Linked DNA regions of Sus scrofa. The protein of the gene in region 1 interacts with the protein of each later gene in a pairwise test. Links are inferred from orthologs where the notes say so. Each region holds a gene or a part of one and is shown on either strand. Other genes may lie near its edges. The genes, in order: BNIP3, BCL2, CLEC7A and LDLRAD1.

Region 1 (4,172 bases):
CCTAGGCCACTGAGGCTGTTTTTCAGGGCAGGGCAGGTGAGAGTAGGGCCTGTCACTGGAGCAGGTCTTCAAGTCCCGGCATTGCCACTTCCTTGCATGGCGTCCTCTGGGTGATGGAACTTGCTGGAAGCTGTAGAGGGTTCCACATGGGGAAGGAAAACCAGGTGCCACTGTCTTTTCGAGGACTTATAAAAAACTTCAGTGAGCTTAGCAGGTTGCAAGACGTGATGACACTAAAATCCATATTCCTATATATTTTCAAAAAGCAATCAAATGAGATTTAACAACGGTAGTCACCATAACATTAAAAGTATGAATATTTAGAGATGCCTCTGACAAAAGATGTGCGAGCCCTGAACCCTGACAACTGCAAGATACTGCTGAGAAAAAAGTCAAAGAACACCTAAATGATGGCCAAACACAGGGTGTCTGTGGGCCCTAAGGCTCAATACCGCAGCTGCTTCCCCAGGAAGAGGGGCCGAGGAGCTGGGAGGGGCGCCTGGGGAGGGCTGGGGTGGGAACACTGAGAGACTGCAATTCGCGCCTCTGCAGGGACACGCTGTTCTGTTTGTTCCTGGCTGCACCCAACTAGAATGCCGCTGGGACAGGGGCGGCGTGGGCTCCACGCACCATGAGCAAGTGAAAATGAGAAGGACAGTCAGCCTGAAAGCAAGGCCAGCTCCTGGACATCCAGAGAGAAAGCAAGATTGATGCCCCTCTCATGAGCATCCGCCGCGTCCCTGCGATTGGCTAGGGACGCAAATATTGGTCCTATCTGTCTTTCTCTGGTTGGTCCTGAGCTGGAGGCAGGGACCGAAGTCGGGGAAGCTGTCATCGCTGATCAAGTCCTGGCCATTTAGGCCTTGTGGTCACAGGGCTGATGTGCGGCATCCCAGACCTGTTGCCAGAGATTCTGATCTGACTTCCCGCCAGGCTGACGTACAAAAGGCGGTCAACTGAGAGGGGCGACCGGCTGGTGGCCTCAGGACGCCGGCCAAACTGCCAGCGCCGCCTTCGGCTGGCTGCCCCGCCTCCCTTGCTCTCCTCCCCGCGGTCAGAGGGAGCGCGGTCAGGCCTCAGGCAGTATCACCGACGCCCAGGCCCCGCCAGGCCCCGCCTCCCGCCGGCCTAGGTTTCTCCGCGGGGCCCGCACGTCCGACACGCACCTGCCGGTTTCCCACGCCTCGCCCCCCAGGGCGCGCGCTCCCGGCCCGGGTCTCCCCGCCCCGCCCCGCGCCCCGTCCCGCCTGCGCACGCGCAGCCCCCTCCGCACCGCCCGGCCAGCGCACGCGCGCTCCACTCCTCAGGCGACCCCTCCCCCGCCCCCGCCCCGCGCACGCGTCGCACGCGCCGCACGCGCCCTCGAAGGCCCCGCCCCGCGGCCAATGGGCGGCGCCGCCGCTTCGCCGCCGCTTATCCGCCGTGCGTCCGCCGCCAGCGTCAGTCAGTCGGGCCGCGGGCCGACCGCGCTCGAGCTGCTAGGCCCGCGCCGCCGCCGCCGCCGCCACCGCTGCCGCCTCCCCCCGTCCCTCTGCGGCCGCAGCTCGGCTCCGGCCCCCGCCGCCCCGCCGCCATGTCTCAGAGCGAGGCCCCCGGGCTGCAGGAGGAGAGCCTGCACGGTGAGCGGGCCCGGGCGGCCTGGTGGAGGGGCTGCGCGGGGACCCCCGGGAGGCCGGGCGCCGCGGGCTCGGGGCGCGGCGGGTGCAGCCTCCCCGGACGGCAGAGGCGCAGCCCAGGGCCCGTGCCGGTACCGGCGAGCAAACGCCTGGCTTGCGGGTGGAGTTCGTGGACGTGGTTGCAGCGTCGTCGGCTCGGTCCGGAGGCGCGGCTGGGGGACGTGGGCTGCCGGGGCTGCCGGGGGTGCGGGGCGCCGGTCAGCGTCGGGGGGCCGCTTAGACACGGCGGGGGCGCGCCGCCAGCTCTTCCCTGAAGCTCAGGTTCTCTCGTCCTGGGGGTCGTTCCAAAGCCAAGCTGGACGCGGACTGGTGGCCGGCGAGGCGGGGACCCCCTGCCCCTCCCGGAAAGCGGGCTCGCGGGGTCCGGCCTCGCGGTCCTGTCCCTGGGGAGCCCCGCGGCCGCGGGCTGGAGGAGGGGCCGTGCGCGCGACCTTTGGATCCTCTGAAGCAAGAGTTTAGGCAGCGGGAGCACGTAAATAAGTTTGGAGAGGACCGTCGAAACCTTTGCGGGTGCATTTTTAAGTTTTTGAAAACCTTTTTGTTATCTGAACTTAGCCACATTTTCTTACGCCTTCCAACAAGCTTTTCCTAAGTAAGACTCGGTGTAATGCGTTGTATAATGTGCATTTAGAACTAAGACGACAGTTTAAAAATCCTGTCATCTCATTAAATTTCAACACTGCTTATCTTCTTGGAAACAGGTTGAGATTGAATCTGTCTTTTCTCACCACCGAGGATGCCGTGGTCACTCGTCTACGCTTCTGACCTCGTGCTTTGGTGGTTGAGATTTGTGTCTGGAAGGGTTCTAAGCGCCCAGAGCCCCCATCTCCGTTCCTTGATTGACACACCAAACTGCTGAGTCATTGGCAATGCAGAAGGCCAGCTCCCAAGTTAAAAGATTTGTTTTTCTGTTTTGTTTATTCTATAAAAAGACAGTTGCAGGCCGAGTGGAAACTCCTGCTGGGCTCTTTGGGCTCCTCTCGGGTACGTGCTGTGGGGCACTTGCTCAGGGTCCTGCCCAGAGGGTCACATGGGCCCCGGGTCCGCCCTGAGAAACGTGAGTCCCCGCCCGGGTTGGTGGCGCCTGTCCTCAGCTCTGTTTTGGTTTGACTGCCTCTTGTTTACCTTGGAAAGAACGCTGAGCCTTGGTAGCCCCACCGACGGACAGCAGCACGCGTTCTCCCCTCTGCTCCCGCCTTTGACTGGGTGTCTCCCGAGTTCACAGCCAAGCTGATGGCTCCCTCTGGACTCCTGGTCCTTCCCGCTCAGAGCTCTTGACTGGCAGCTCGACCTTTTCCTCAGATAAACAGCTGCTAGAGTGTGTGTGGGGGGGAGACTTACTGTCCTGGAGAACGCCCTCCCTGCTCTGCTGGGGCCTGACCAGCGCCGTGAGGTGCCCTGGGGTGCCCGAGGCCGCCCCAGCCCTTCTCCTGCAGCCCTAGGGTTCTGCTGTCACCAGCAGCCCACCAGGGGCCCGGGCGCATGGAGAGGAAGGTGAGTAGCGCATGTGTCCGGTGCAGTAGGGTGACATTTCAGACACTAGGTCCTGGCCCAGAGAGGAGTGAATGAGGCCGCAGTGACTTCTCAGGGCCGCCTCCTTTGGGTGCTGGTGGGCGGCTTGGAGCCTCAGCGACAGGGCGCTCGCCAGGCAGGCGGAGGGTGCGACTAATCAGCTCCTGCTTCTTGGAGCCTCGGTGACCTGCCTGGTCGACTTCCCGGTTCATCAGGCCTCTGTCCTGTCCCACCCAACTTGAGAAGCTTTTTAAAACTGTCACTTCGTAAAACCCCAGCTGGTTCGGGTGGTGGTTGCCTGCAGGCTTAGTGAGCCGCTCTGCCTGGGATGGGGGCGCTTCTCCGGGGGCCTCTGTGACCTCGATCCCATTGTCTCCTAGGAACTTGCCTAGCAGTTTTCAAACCTTCATCACCGCAAGAGTTTTTGCAAAGGAAATGCCCCGACTGGGTTCTGACCCAGCCTTCCGAACCGGGGGTGGGACTCCAGAGAGCGGGGAGGGCACCGCAGGCGGTCCTCGGTAGCCTGGGTGGAGGCCTGCCAGCCCAGACCAGGGTGCGGGGGCTCTGGGACCCAGGGCCTGGCGTCTCACTGTGGAGGCAGGACTGTGGAGAAAGGGGTCACAGTTTGTGTTTTAACAAAACGAATGAACATCAAGACGGGCTAACAAGTCTAAGGCTTGTCAGCCCCTTTTGTGATGTGACTTCGAATGAGCAGCCGAGGCTGCTCATCCTTCTCACCTGCCATGCTCACCTGCCCTGTGTCCTGCTGTGTGCGTGGTAGGCAGGTGTGGGCAGGGGCCCGAGTCTGGGCAGAGGTATCACCACCTGTTTTTTCTGAGGCCTCATTGTACCAGTGACTTGACAGGTTATTTGTGCTGCTGAGGCGGTGCCGTGAAGCAGCCTGGCTCCCATCTTTCTGGCCCAGGAAGGCGAGGGCGCTCGTGACTGCAGGTGGAAGGGGGTCAGTGGCAACCCTGGCTTCCT
Region 2 (4,085 bases), on another chromosome or scaffold:
AAACACATGCCACTTGTTTGCTCTTTGTGCCTTTCTCCTGGGGGCTGTTCATGCTTGTGAATAAAAAAAAATGTGTATATAGTGCGTGTGCGAGTCTGTGTTTGTGTATAAATAACTCGAGAAGGTGCAGCTATCTAGATTGGCTGCTAGGTGGCCGTGGACCCACTTACCCTGGTTTGGGGGCTTGGGGCCTTAAGGTAGCCCTGTAGCCTCCCACGGTAGCGTGGCGGGCAGCCCCTAACCCAGTGCCCAGACTGTTAGTAGAGGAAAAACATTGACTTAACCACTTGAAAGCCCTTGGTATATACCCCACTAATCCCTCTGCCGGGCCACTGAGAGCTATGTCTGGCTTTGGTCATGGATGGTGTCACCGAAGTGTATTCTCTGCGTGGACACCTAGGAAGCAACTTGAAAGTAAACACACGCTTGGGGCTTCCCTCGCTGATGAATGTGCAGCAGCGTCGCCTCCGTTCGGAGGGCAGCGCTGAGGTCTCTTTGCTTCGGTCAGCATCTGCCAAGCGCTGGTGTGTACACACACAGGGGCTGCTGTGTGTACACACACACAAGGGCTTGTGTGTACACACACACACACACACACACACACACACACACACGGGAGCGCGCGCGCGGTTAGGGCCGAAGTGATTACTGGCGCTTGTTTTCTTGGCGCCCACCCCCGTCCCCTAGCAGCCACCCATCCGGCCGCGTGCGGTTCCCCCGGCGGCCCTGGCCGCTCGCCGGGCCCTCCGAAGGCCCGAAGAGGCCCCGCGCACACCCACCGCGCCGCGGCCGCGCGGGAGGCCTGCGCCGCCCGCGCCACCCACCGGCTGGGCCCAGCGGGCAGGCTGAGCGAGCGGGCGGGCGGGGGCTGTCCCGGGCTCGCCCTCCCCGGCCGCGGCCCTGCGCGCCATGTGTCCCCGCGGGGCGCGCCGCTCCAGAGCCGGCCGCGGCTCCTTTAACCCAGGGAAGGGGAGCGGGGCGGAGGGGGCGGAGGGGGCGGTGGGGCGGCTCCGAGGAGGGCTCTTTCTTTCTTCTTTTTTTGAATGAACAGTGTGACGTACATACAGGAAACCAGTCGGTTAGAGGAGAATGAAGTAAGAGGCCAGCCCCCCCGGCCCCGCGCCCGCCCCCTTCCTCCCTGCGCTGGCCCCCGCCCGCCGGGCTCCCGCCCGCCAAGCTCGGTTTCCCCGCCGAGCCGCCGCCGCTGCCGCCGCCGCCGCCGCCGCCGCCGCTGCCAGCGAAGGTGCCGGGAGCCGAGCCCTCCCCGCCGGCGCGGCCGTCATCGCCCTGAGCGGGAGCGCGGGGGAGGCGGGCGCAGCCAGCTCTGCCGCGCAGGAGCAGGAGGAGGAGAAAGGGTGCGCAGCCCGGAGGCGGGGTGCGCCGGTGGGGTGCAGCGGAAGAGGGGGTCCAGGGGGGAGAACTTCGTAGCAGTCATCCTTTTTAGGAAAAGAGGGAAAAAATAAAACCCTCCCCCACCACCTCCTTCTCCCCACCCCTCGCCGCACCACACACAGCGCGGGCTTCTCGCGCTCGGCACCGGCGGGCCGGGTGCGTCCAGCCTTCATTTATCAAGCAGCTTTTCGGAAAATGCATTTGCCGTTCGGAGTTTAATCAGAAGAGGATTCCTGTCCCCGTCCCCGGCTCGTCCACCGGCCCCCGGTCCCTGTCTCTCTCCCGTGGAGGCGTGAAGCGGCCCCGCGGATAGAAATCCATGTCCGTGCCCGCGCGTGTGTGTGCGTGTGTAAATTGCCGAGAGGGGAAAAATCACAGGACTTCTGCAAATCCCGGACTGAAAATTGTAATTCATCTGCCGCCGCCGCTGCCTTTCTTTTCTCGTGCTCTTGAGATCTCTGGTTGGGATTCCTACGGATTGACATTTCTGTAAAGGAGAAGTCTGGGAATCAAACTGGAAATTCTCCTAATTTTTACACCTCCTCCCCCAGCTCCTGATTCATTTGGAAGTTTCAAAGCAGCTATAACTGGAGAGTTCTGAAGATTGATGGAATCTTTGCCTTATGCATTTGTTTTGTTTTCACAAAAAGGAAACTTGACAGAGGATCATGCTGTCCTTAAAAAATACAAGTAAGTTCTTTGCACAGAAAATTGGCTTAATGTAACTTTCAATGGAAACATTTGAGATTTTAACTTTTAAGTGCATTCGAGTAAGTTTAATTTCCAGGCAGTTTAATACATTCTTTTCAGCTGTGTAACTTGTAGTGTGTTAAGCCCTGCTTTCACCCAGTGTATAAAGGGAAATGCACCTGATTTTGACTGATTAGTTTTTTTAACCTTTCAGCATCACGGGGGAAGTAGACTGATATTAACAATAATTAATAATGTGCCTCATGAACTAAAGATCCGAAAGGAATTTAAATAAAAATTTCCTGCATCTCATGCCAAGAGGGAAACACCAGAATCAAGTGTTCCGCGTGACTGAAGACACCCCCTCAACCAAGAATGCAAAGCACATCCAATAAAATAGCTGGATTATAACTATTCTCTCTTTCGGGGCCGTGGGGTGGGAAGCGGGGGCGAGAGGTGCTGTTGGTACCCGGCTGCTTTTCCTCTGGGAAAGGATGGCGCACGCTGGGAGAACAGGGTATGATAACCGGGAAATAGTGATGAAGTACATCCACTATAAGCTGTCGCAGAGGGGCTACGAGTGGGATGCCGGAGACGCGGGCGCCGCGTCCCCGGGGGCCGCTCCCGCACCGGGCATCTTCTCCTCCCAGCCCGGGCGAACCCCCGCTCCCGCCAGGACCTCGCCGCCGCCGACCCCGACCGCCCCCGCCGCCACCGCCGCCGCCGCCGCCGCCGCGGGGCCTGTACTCAGCCCGGTGCCACCTGTGGTCCACCTGACCCTGCGCCAGGCCGGCGATGACTTCTCTCGTCGCTACCGCCGCGACTTTGCCGAGATGTCCAGCCAGCTGCACCTGACTCCCTTCACCGCGAGGGGACGCTTTGCCACGGTGGTGGAGGAGCTCTTCAGGGATGGGGTGAACTGGGGGAGGATTGTGGCCTTCTTTGAGTTCGGTGGGGTCATGTGTGTGGAGAGCGTCAACCGGGAGATGTCGCCCCTGGTGGACAACATCGCCCTGTGGATGACTGAGTACCTGAACCGGCACCTGCACACCTGGATCCAGGATAACGGAGGCTGGGTAGGTGCATGTGTGGTTGAATGTGAGTCTGGGCTGCGCGTTAAGGGTCTGAGATGCAGTGGTTGGAGTGTGGGTGGGCTGCTCGACCAAGGGCGGGCGGATGAGCCAGTGCTATAAAATCAGGTTTGTGGCTTCCCTCCCCATTTCCCCTGTTCAGAGCTCTCTCCCTGCCAACCGTACTGTGATCATTCCTTCCCGCCAAAACTGTTTGCCTTGCTTGCCAACCGTTGAGTTTCAAAGATCCAGGCTTTGCTATTCAGTAGGCTCTTGGGATAATGGTATCCCTTCAGTGTTTTTCAAACTGGGAGTCCAAGGATCCCCAGCATTACTGTACCTGGCCTGAGTAGCTCCTTGAAATCAGAGACAGGGCCAACTCATAAACTGACCTCAGGCTGGGCCCTGGGAATCTGCATCAGAAATAAGCCCCTCTGGGGGTTTCTTCTTTGTACTAAGATGTGAGAACCACCCAATTAGAAGAACAGACTCCCCCAGAAGACCAAGGTCATGCCTTCTCCTCACTTGGTAACATCTACCCAAAGAGGAAAACCAATGGAGCCTATTTCCCTGAAAATCTTGGATGTTTGTGAAAAGGTAAATTGTAAGTTGACTTTCCAAAAGTCCGGCCATTCCAAGCTGCAATGTGAGCCACATTCCCAGTGGGCATGACCCATTGTCTTGAAGAACACTCATCTATGGGTGTTTATTTCATCAGTGGCAGAATTTGCATTCGCTGCACGCTTTGTGTTCTATTTCTATAACTTGTGTATGATTTTGAGGTTTACTGGAATTTTACTGTCTTACTTTTCACCAACTAGAATTCACATCATTTTGGGTCTTCTCTGCTGGATAAACGTGAATCTACAGTATCTATATAAAGCATAGAAGAATTGATTCTTAGCTATGGATTCCTGTGCTCTGACTTTAGTT
Region 3 (4,347 bases), on another chromosome or scaffold:
TTAGTACTTGGTAAGTGCTGCAAGTATTTCCTGGTATTATCCAAAAAAAAAAAAAATTCAGATTAAAGGACCAGGTACAAAACACTTTCTTTAAATCATGAGATATAAAAATGTCTTATAGTCTTTTTAAAGAATTTATTTCATTAGGAAGATAAGCACTAATTGTACTTCCTTCTTCACCTCCGCTGGTTTCCTCTCATTCATTTACCCTAGGAATTCCACAGCTTTGAAACCAGCTATTCAAGAAGGTAGTAGATCACTGCAGTTAAAAGTATGAGTTTTTTAGACATACTGCCTAAACATCCAATCACGTTCCTACCATTAACTGGTTTATGATGCCAGGACTAAAATAAGAACTAATAGCACTAATTCAATAAGGTCAATATGCAGATTAAATAAGATTATGTTACACTCTTAAAAGAGTGCCTAGATCATTACACATTTTTAATTAAATATCTGCCATTGCTCATCTCCTCCAGTACTCACCCATGGTACCCAGGACCACAGCTATCACCAACATTAACAAGCATAAAATTCCCAAAGTCACAGTAATGGGTCGCCAATAAGGGGATGCAGCACAAGGTCCTGAGGAGCCAAAGAGAGCAGAAATTGAGTAAAGTAACTGGATAATGGATCATGGAACATTTCAGTTCTCTAGTTCATCAAAATCTGATCCCCGAAATATCTACTCATCTGGAATAATCTGAATTTTTCTCCCCTTTTAGCAATACCTCTTCATGTTTCTGAAACTGTAACTTGAGTGCAGTGCCTTGGTATTTGTGCACTCTAAATTTCAGCTCCACATTGATGTTTATATGTCTTACACTATCAGGATTCCTGAAAGCATACTCCTTCTTGAGACAGCTTCATGGAGCAGAAATAGCACTGGTTTCTAAGAGTAATCTTCCCCTTTCTCTTATTTGTTGCATGCTCTTGGGAAAATTATGCCCTCTGGTTTTTGTTTTTGTTTTTTTTCAATTCTCTTTGTGAAAAGTGAGGGTACTAATACATCAAAATGTTATTATGAAAATTAAATAAGTTAACACACATAAAGGCACCTAGACTACTAGCACAGTCTAGATAACCCACCGTTTAACCACACATACATGTAAACACACACATACCTCCCTATCTTTTGCATAGTTTTTCCACTCTCCCCCAACAGGTTGCCCAAGGAAAGAATTGCACAAGCGATGAGAGGAAAATAATTGTGCAATATGAATGAGCAGAAAGCAGAAGGGAGCAAATTCTGACGTCAAAACCTGTGAATAAACTCTCCCTTGATAACAAGAAATTCATTTTCTATTAATACCCCTACACCAAGATTGAGAATAGGCATTAAGAGCATTTCAGAGAATTTTCAAATAGGAGAATTACAGGGGAGATTAAATGGCTCATTCAATGAAGAGAGAGGTCTCTGCCGGCCTACACCACAGCCACAGAAACGTAGGATCTGAGCTGCCTCTGTGACCTACACCACAGCTTAGGGCAACGCCGGATCCTTAACCCACTGAGCGAAGCCAGGGATCAAACCCGCATCCTCGTGGATCCTAGTCAGGTTTGTTAACGCTAAGCCACAAAGGGAACTCCTAAAGAGACCAATGCCCTTGTCCAGGTTTCACTTCTTTTACATTTGGTTTAAGACTCGTGTCCTGATAATGGGATATTTTTATCTAACACATATATTTCTTCACTGACATACAAAAACTCCCTTTACAAAAAATAAAAAAAAAGAATATCAAATCAACCTCATTATCACACATACAAAAAATTCAGATTTGGGCTTCTAAGCCCTAAGACTTCTGACTTCTTTGGCCTTTTCCACAAAATCACAAGTTGTTTTTTCCATCTTTTCATTCTTCTCCTGATCTCCAGTATCTTGATGTTGTTCATATCCACTGCTTTGCCTTTCTTTTTTATTTTTGTCTTTTTTAGGGCCACACCCGAGGCATATGGAGGTTTCCAGGTTGGGGGTCAAATGGGAGCTGTAGCCACTAGCCCACACCACAGCCATAGCCACGCCAGATCTGAGCATCATCCGTGACCTACACCACAGCTCACGACAACACCTGATCTTTAACCCAGTGAACAAGGCCAGGGATCGAACCTGCGTCCTCATGGGTGCTAGTCAGATCTGTTTCTGCTGAGCCACGACAGGAATCCCTGCTTTACCTTTCCTTAAATCCCATGCTACAATTTACTCATTTCTATCAAGTAGGTCACTCCTGTCAAAATTCTTTCATCTTTGCATTTCACCTCACTTAGTACAACTTCTTACTTTGGAAGTGCCCATCTCTAGAGAATAGAGAAATTGTAGGTATTTTTCATCATCATAATAATTAACTTAAATAAATTTGACACTTGAACATCACTGGGGTTAAGGGCATCTACCCTCCCACAGTCGAAAAAATTCCTCTATAACTTATGGTGGACCCTCAGTATTTGACGTTCTCCATATCTACATTCAGCTTCCACAGATTCAGTCAACTTCAGATGGTGTAGCACTGTAGTATTTATGATTAAAAAACCTCCATATATAAGTGGACCTGTGCAGTTCAAACCCCTGTTGCTCAAGGGTCAACTGTACTAATGATTGGTCACTGAATGGTTGCTGAGAGAAAAGGCTTCGTGCACATTCAAAGAATCTTCAGCGATTTCTGAAAATCAACATATAGTAATAAAAGCCCAACAAATCACGTCTCGCCTCTCTTTTCCACTTCCAATTTCAGTTGATGAGATTGACAATGTTGAAATCAGAAAGAAAAAAAAATACCTTTCTCGGAGACCACAGATCTCCTGGTGAGGTTGTGAGAGCTGAAGTCTAACTGAGTGTATCCATCTTCATCCACATTTTCTAAAGGAGACTGGTATTCCATGGTTCAAGTGAGTTTCTAAACTGACACAGCATTTGCGAGCTCATCCCTCTCTTCTCCTAAGACAAGTGCCTCTAGACAAAAGAGGATCTAGGAGTCAAATCATGTGGGATTGGTTTACTAAGCATTAACAAGTAGTCCGACCAGCTACCCAAAAGCAGGAAATGAAAACTAGGCTGTGGTAACTTCCCATTGGTACCTTCAGATCCTGTTTCTGAGACTGATGTCACATAAAAAATGAAAAGGTAGCACACGAGATAGATCTTTGTTTCAGGCCAAATGTAAGACAAATGACACCATTCATGTCTTGGGCTGCTTTCATCAGTCTCACAACTGAATTGGACATCATCAGTTGACTTGGCCTAGGTAAACTTAAAATAATTTTGATACCTTGAATTCACCAATACTTTGCTAGACCTATACATTCATTCATTTACTCATGTACTCACGCTTCTAGTAAACACTTAGCAAATATCCATCTTTTCATCTGGCCAGAGCTGGGATTAGAAGAACAAAATGATTACCTGTGAAGAATCTCACTGACTAACAGAAGAACCCAGAGACAGTAGCTATAGGAAGGATGCCATTAGAAGGTACACTGTAACACATCTCTTTGGGATTTGTCAGGGTTGATAATACAAAGTAGTACATTATTTATTCAACAATGACTATGAGCTAAGTACTACCCATCTACATGTTCTCTCATACAATCTCAGTTTTCCAACAAGTCTGTGAGCTAGACACTACTGGTCCTATTTCTTTTAGTCCTATGTATTATTTTTCATATAATTTTCCATTATTATTTATACAAGATTTATACGCACCCATGGGTATATAGAAGTTCCCATGCTGGGGTCAAATTGGAGCTACACCTGCCAGCCTCCCCCACGGCCACAGCAACACAAAATCTGAGCCACGTCTGTGACCTGCATCATAGCTCATGGCAAAGCTGGATCCCAGACCACTGAGCAAGGCCAGGGATCAAACCTGCATCCTCATGGATATTGGTCAGATTCATTTCTGCTGTGCCACCACAGGAATTCCCACAAAACATTGAATATAGTTCCCTGTGTCATAGTGTAGGACCTTGTTGTTTAGTCCTATTTTCAAATGACAAAAATGAGACATAGAAATTTTATCCACTTGCTCAATTTTAAGAAACTACTAAAAATATTGCAAGGAATGAAACCAAAGTCTACTCTTACTGCTAAACCCATGACCTCTTCTGTTATGCTACCATTCCATACGCTTACATGGCAAGTAACAGCTTATAGAGAATTCTGGGACTGAATATTATATTAAATACTTGATGTTTCCTCTTTTCCGATTTCCATAGTAATTCCCAAATTAATGAGATATGGAAAACACTTATCATTGCTGGAAACTAGAGGTACTCAACCCATTCACAAGATTTTGAAGCAAACAGAGTGAAGGAGATATCTGGCAGTTGTCGAAGACAAAAAACCCTAGGCCC
Region 4 (3,620 bases), on another chromosome or scaffold:
TGCAGGTTCAATCCCTGGCCTTGCTCAGTGGGTTAAGGATCTGATGTTGCCTTGAGCTGTGGTGTAGGTTACAGACATGGCTCAGATCCTGTGTAACTGTGGCTCTGGTGTAGGCCAGCGGCTACAGCTCCGATTCGACCCCTAGCCTGGGAGCCTCCATATGCCGCAAGTGCAGCCCTAAAAAGCAAAAAAAAAAAAAAAAAAAAAAAGTCAGCTAGTCCATGTCCCAGCTCGAGCCCACATCCCCTCTGCCACTCAGCCCCTACTTGCCCACTCCTGGAACGGGGAGCTCACTGCCACTTGAGGCAGCTGATCCCATCACTGCCTGGTTTTCCATGGGAAGGTCTCCCTTGTGCTGAGTTTAGAGCCGCCTCCCAGTAGCATCCTTGATTGGTTCCAACTCTGCCCGGTCAGCAACCCGTGCCCCCCACAAGCTACAGTTCAATCTGTCTCCCACGATGGTGGCACTGCATGGACTTGCCCCCCATGAGTGTCCTCTTCCCCGGCCACCTCTGAACTCCCCGTTGCCTTGTGACTGGTCTTCCCCTTTCCGCCAGCACACCGAACAACACAGACCAATGCCCGTGCCCCTCTCCCTGGACTGGCTCCAGAAACATCCATGACACTTCTGACGAACTCCGGCCAGTCCAAGAAACAAAGGCTTTTCCCCTCCCAAGTCTGGGTTATACCTTTAATGATGTGGCCTGAGTTTATGTTAATTTTTGGTAGCCCTGTCATGCTGCTGACTAACACAGAACCCACTTTTAAGAAAGATGCTCTGGGAGTTCCCGTTGTGGCGCAGTGGTTAACGAATCCGACTAGGAACCATGAGGTTGTGGGTTCGATCCCTGGCCTTGCTCAGTGGGTTAAGGATCCAGTGTTGCCGTGAGCTGTGGTGTAGGTCGCAGACGTGGCTCAGATCTGGCGTTGCTGTGGCTCAGGCGTAGGCTGGCGGCTACAGCTCTGATTCGACCCCTAGCCTGGGAACCTCCATATGCTGCAGATACGGCCCTAAAGAGCCAAAAAAAAAAAAAAAAAAAAAAAAAAAAAAAAAAACCCACACCGCCTGATCTGGGATCCAAGTGCAAAACTTCACATTTTCTCTTTTTATATTCCATTCAGTGGAAGCTTCCTGGAGGTGAAGGAACTTGAACCTGGACTTGCAGGTGGAATGGTTCTGGACAGGGGTTGAGGAGGAACTTCTGGAGGGAGGAATAGAGCAAAGCAATGGCAGGGAGGGGGCGGCTCAAGGGAGTGAGGGTGGGAGAGGCAGCTCCGGGAGCCCTGCTGGGTGAACAGCCAAAGAACCCTCCCCTCTCCTTGACTTGACCTCCTCCCCAGGAAAACTCCTTGTCCCCTTCCTGGGATTGGATGGGTCGTGACCCTGCGTTTGACAGCTGCCAGGGTGGCCAGAACAATCCTCCTTCAGACAGCTCTGAGCCAGCTGTGGCCAGATGCAGACTGCCTCTCACCCCATCTGCCCTCTGCAGGAGACGTGCCCCAGAGCCTCCCCAGCTTCCTGGTGGCACACTGTGGAGACCCCGCTTTCTGGATCTACTCAGACCAGAAGTGTGATGGGTTCAACAACTGCGGGGACTGCTCGGATGAACTGAGCCCAGGTGGGGGTCTGGGTGCAGGCTGGGCTGGGGCAGTTGGCTGGGCAGTAGTCAGGGGGTAGAAGTTGACCAGAGACTCTCCCAGGCTTCCCTTGCATCCCCTTCATGCATCCCAGGAAGAAGTTTTCCACTCCCGCTTGAATGCCTCGACTGGCAGGGTGCTCACTACCACTCCCAGTGGCTCCTTCTCAAGGGTTATTCTTTTGTGGTGGGGAACTTACCTTCAAGGGCATAGATGAGGAAACTGGGACCCAGAGGGCGGTCATGGAAGGAGTACATACATGGTCTAACTGGGGTTTGAACCTGGGCTTCCCTCGTCTCCCCTGCACCATCCAACAACCGTGCAAGGAAAGCAGGGCAGGAGTCACTGAGCCCAATTTATACACAGGTAAACTGAGACCAGAGGGAGAAGGGACAAAATAATGAGTAATAGGAAGGGATTGTGGGTCTCTTGACTTTAGGACTGGAGTTTTTTCACTGTCCCGGGTTTTCCTTCCAACCTCTTCCCTGCTGTTCGATCCACACACACATTCTGAGCACGTTGGGGGTTGGCCTGGTGCCAGGTTCTGCTAGGGGACAGTCAGGAGTCAAATAAGTGTCCTACTCCCATGACTCACATCATGTGATGCCAAAAGGAAGTGCTGGGGTCCTGGAGAGGTTTCTTTTGTGGGGGGCGGGGGAGTAAAAATCAAGGGAGGCTTCTGAGAAGAGGCGGCATTCAAGCAGGCTTTAAAAAATGGATAGGGGGATGTTATTGTGACTCGGCAGATTACCAACCTAACTAGTACCCATCATGACTCGGGTTCGATCCCTGGCCTCGATCAGTGGGTTAAGGATCCAGTGTGGCTGTGAGCTATGGTGTAGGTCACAGACATGGCTTGGGTCCCTCATTGCTGTGGTGTGGCTGTGGTATAGGCCGGCAGCTGTAGCTCCAATTTGATCCCTAGCCTGAGAAACATGCTGCCAGAAAAAAAAAAAAAAAAAAAGGCAGAAAAGGACAGGTTTCAACAGGCAGAGGCCAGGTGTGCAGGGGAGAATGCTAGCGGTCCAGGGTCCAGGGCAAACAGGGGAGTCTGCAGGGCGCCCTAAAGGAGTCATAAGCAGGCTGGTGCCGCTGAGTCAGGGTGAGAGAGGAGGGCGGGGTGACATGTGCCCGGCAATACCTGAGCATCGACTGTGGGCCTGGCGCTTTGCCTATCGTCCTTAACAGCAGCCTTGAGCTGATGAGGAAACTGAGGCTCAGACAGGGTGAGAGATTTGCTTGAGACAACACAACCTATGAGCTGGGGAGCCGGGATTCTCTCTCCTGTCGGGGAATGAGGAATGTAGTTACCCGTGTCAGCGGAGGTGGGGCTATGGGAGCCATGGCAGGTTTCAGAGCTAGGGAGTGCCCTGATGCACAGGACATTCCAAGACACAGCAGCTGTTCTTCTGCCGGCTCTTGTCTTTCCAGTGACGACGTGCCCACCCTGTGGCCCTGAGTGGTGGCGCTGCCCCTCGACCGTCTTCAAATATTGCACCTGCATCCCCAGGAGCCTCTGCCGGGATCACGTGCAGCACTGCTCCGACTGGTCAGACGAGTACTCCTGCCCTGGACCTTGAGTGGGTCGCCGAGGCCAGAGTGGGCAGCTGGTTAAAATGGCACTGATAACCCCCCCACACACACAAGAGCTAGGAATCCAAGTGCACAAGGGCAGGAAGGAGCCTGTGGGATCATCTAGTGGGATCTACACACCGTTGCCTCTGAATAAGAATTGCCTCTCGTGCTTTCGAGGGTTTCAGCCTCTGCTTGAACCCTTCCAGCGACGGGGAGATCACTACCATGTCAAGTAGCTCCTAGCAATGATGAGAGAACCTGCTTCCATGATTTGAAGCTTGTCTCTGGGTCACATGGAGGAAAGATGCCCCTCTACTCTGAGACAGGCTCTCAGATACTGACCTTGTCGCCCCTTGGGGAAACGTTAAGTCTTGGGCTCAAACACCAAGCTGAAAGTTTATCCCTTT

What was found.
Region 2: the proteins of BNIP3 (region 1) and BCL2 interact in a two-hybrid assay, tested with the Homo sapiens proteins (2 studies listed by BioGRID and IntAct). The link is inferred for Sus scrofa from reciprocal best matches to the Homo sapiens genes BNIP3 and BCL2.
Region 3: the proteins of BNIP3 (region 1) and CLEC7A interact in binary tests that used the Homo sapiens proteins (3 or more experiments, as listed by UniProt). The two-hybrid records come from large-scale screens. The link is inferred for Sus scrofa from reciprocal best matches to the Homo sapiens genes BNIP3 and CLEC7A.
Region 4: the proteins of BNIP3 (region 1) and LDLRAD1 interact in binary tests that used the Homo sapiens proteins (3 or more experiments, as listed by UniProt). The two-hybrid records come from large-scale screens. The link is inferred for Sus scrofa from reciprocal best matches to the Homo sapiens genes BNIP3 and LDLRAD1.

Annotation. Positions count from the first base shown.
Region 1 is NC_010456.5:140,369,152-140,373,323, reverse strand, and holds the start of BNIP3 (BCL2/adenovirus E1B 19 kDa protein-interacting protein 3), read left to right. Parts: upstream 1-1,372; 5' UTR 1,373-1,573; coding exon 1,574-1,619; intron 1,620-4,172. UniProt on the Homo sapiens protein: Apoptosis-inducing protein that can overcome BCL2 suppression. May play a role in repartitioning calcium between the two major intracellular calcium stores in association with BCL2.
Region 2 is NC_010443.5:158,336,169-158,340,253, forward strand, and holds the start of BCL2 (apoptosis regulator Bcl-2), read left to right. Parts: upstream 1-1,234; 5' UTR 1,235-2,576; coding exon 2,577-3,158; exon of another isoform or gene 3,159-4,085. UniProt on the Homo sapiens protein: Suppresses apoptosis in a variety of cell systems including factor-dependent lymphohematopoietic and neural cells. Regulates cell death by controlling the mitochondrial membrane permeability. Appears to function in a feedback loop system with caspases.
Region 3 is NC_010447.5:61,831,556-61,835,902, reverse strand, and holds the start of CLEC7A (C-type lectin domain family 7 member A), read right to left. Parts: upstream 2,877-4,347; coding exon 2,774-2,876; intron 586-2,773; coding exon of another isoform or gene 487-585; intron 1-486.
Region 4 is NC_010448.4:158,298,798-158,302,417, forward strand, and holds part of LDLRAD1 (low-density lipoprotein receptor class A domain-containing protein 1), read left to right. Parts: intron 1-1,490; coding exon 1,491-1,619; intron 1,620-3,069; coding exon 3,070-3,218; 3' UTR 3,219-3,620.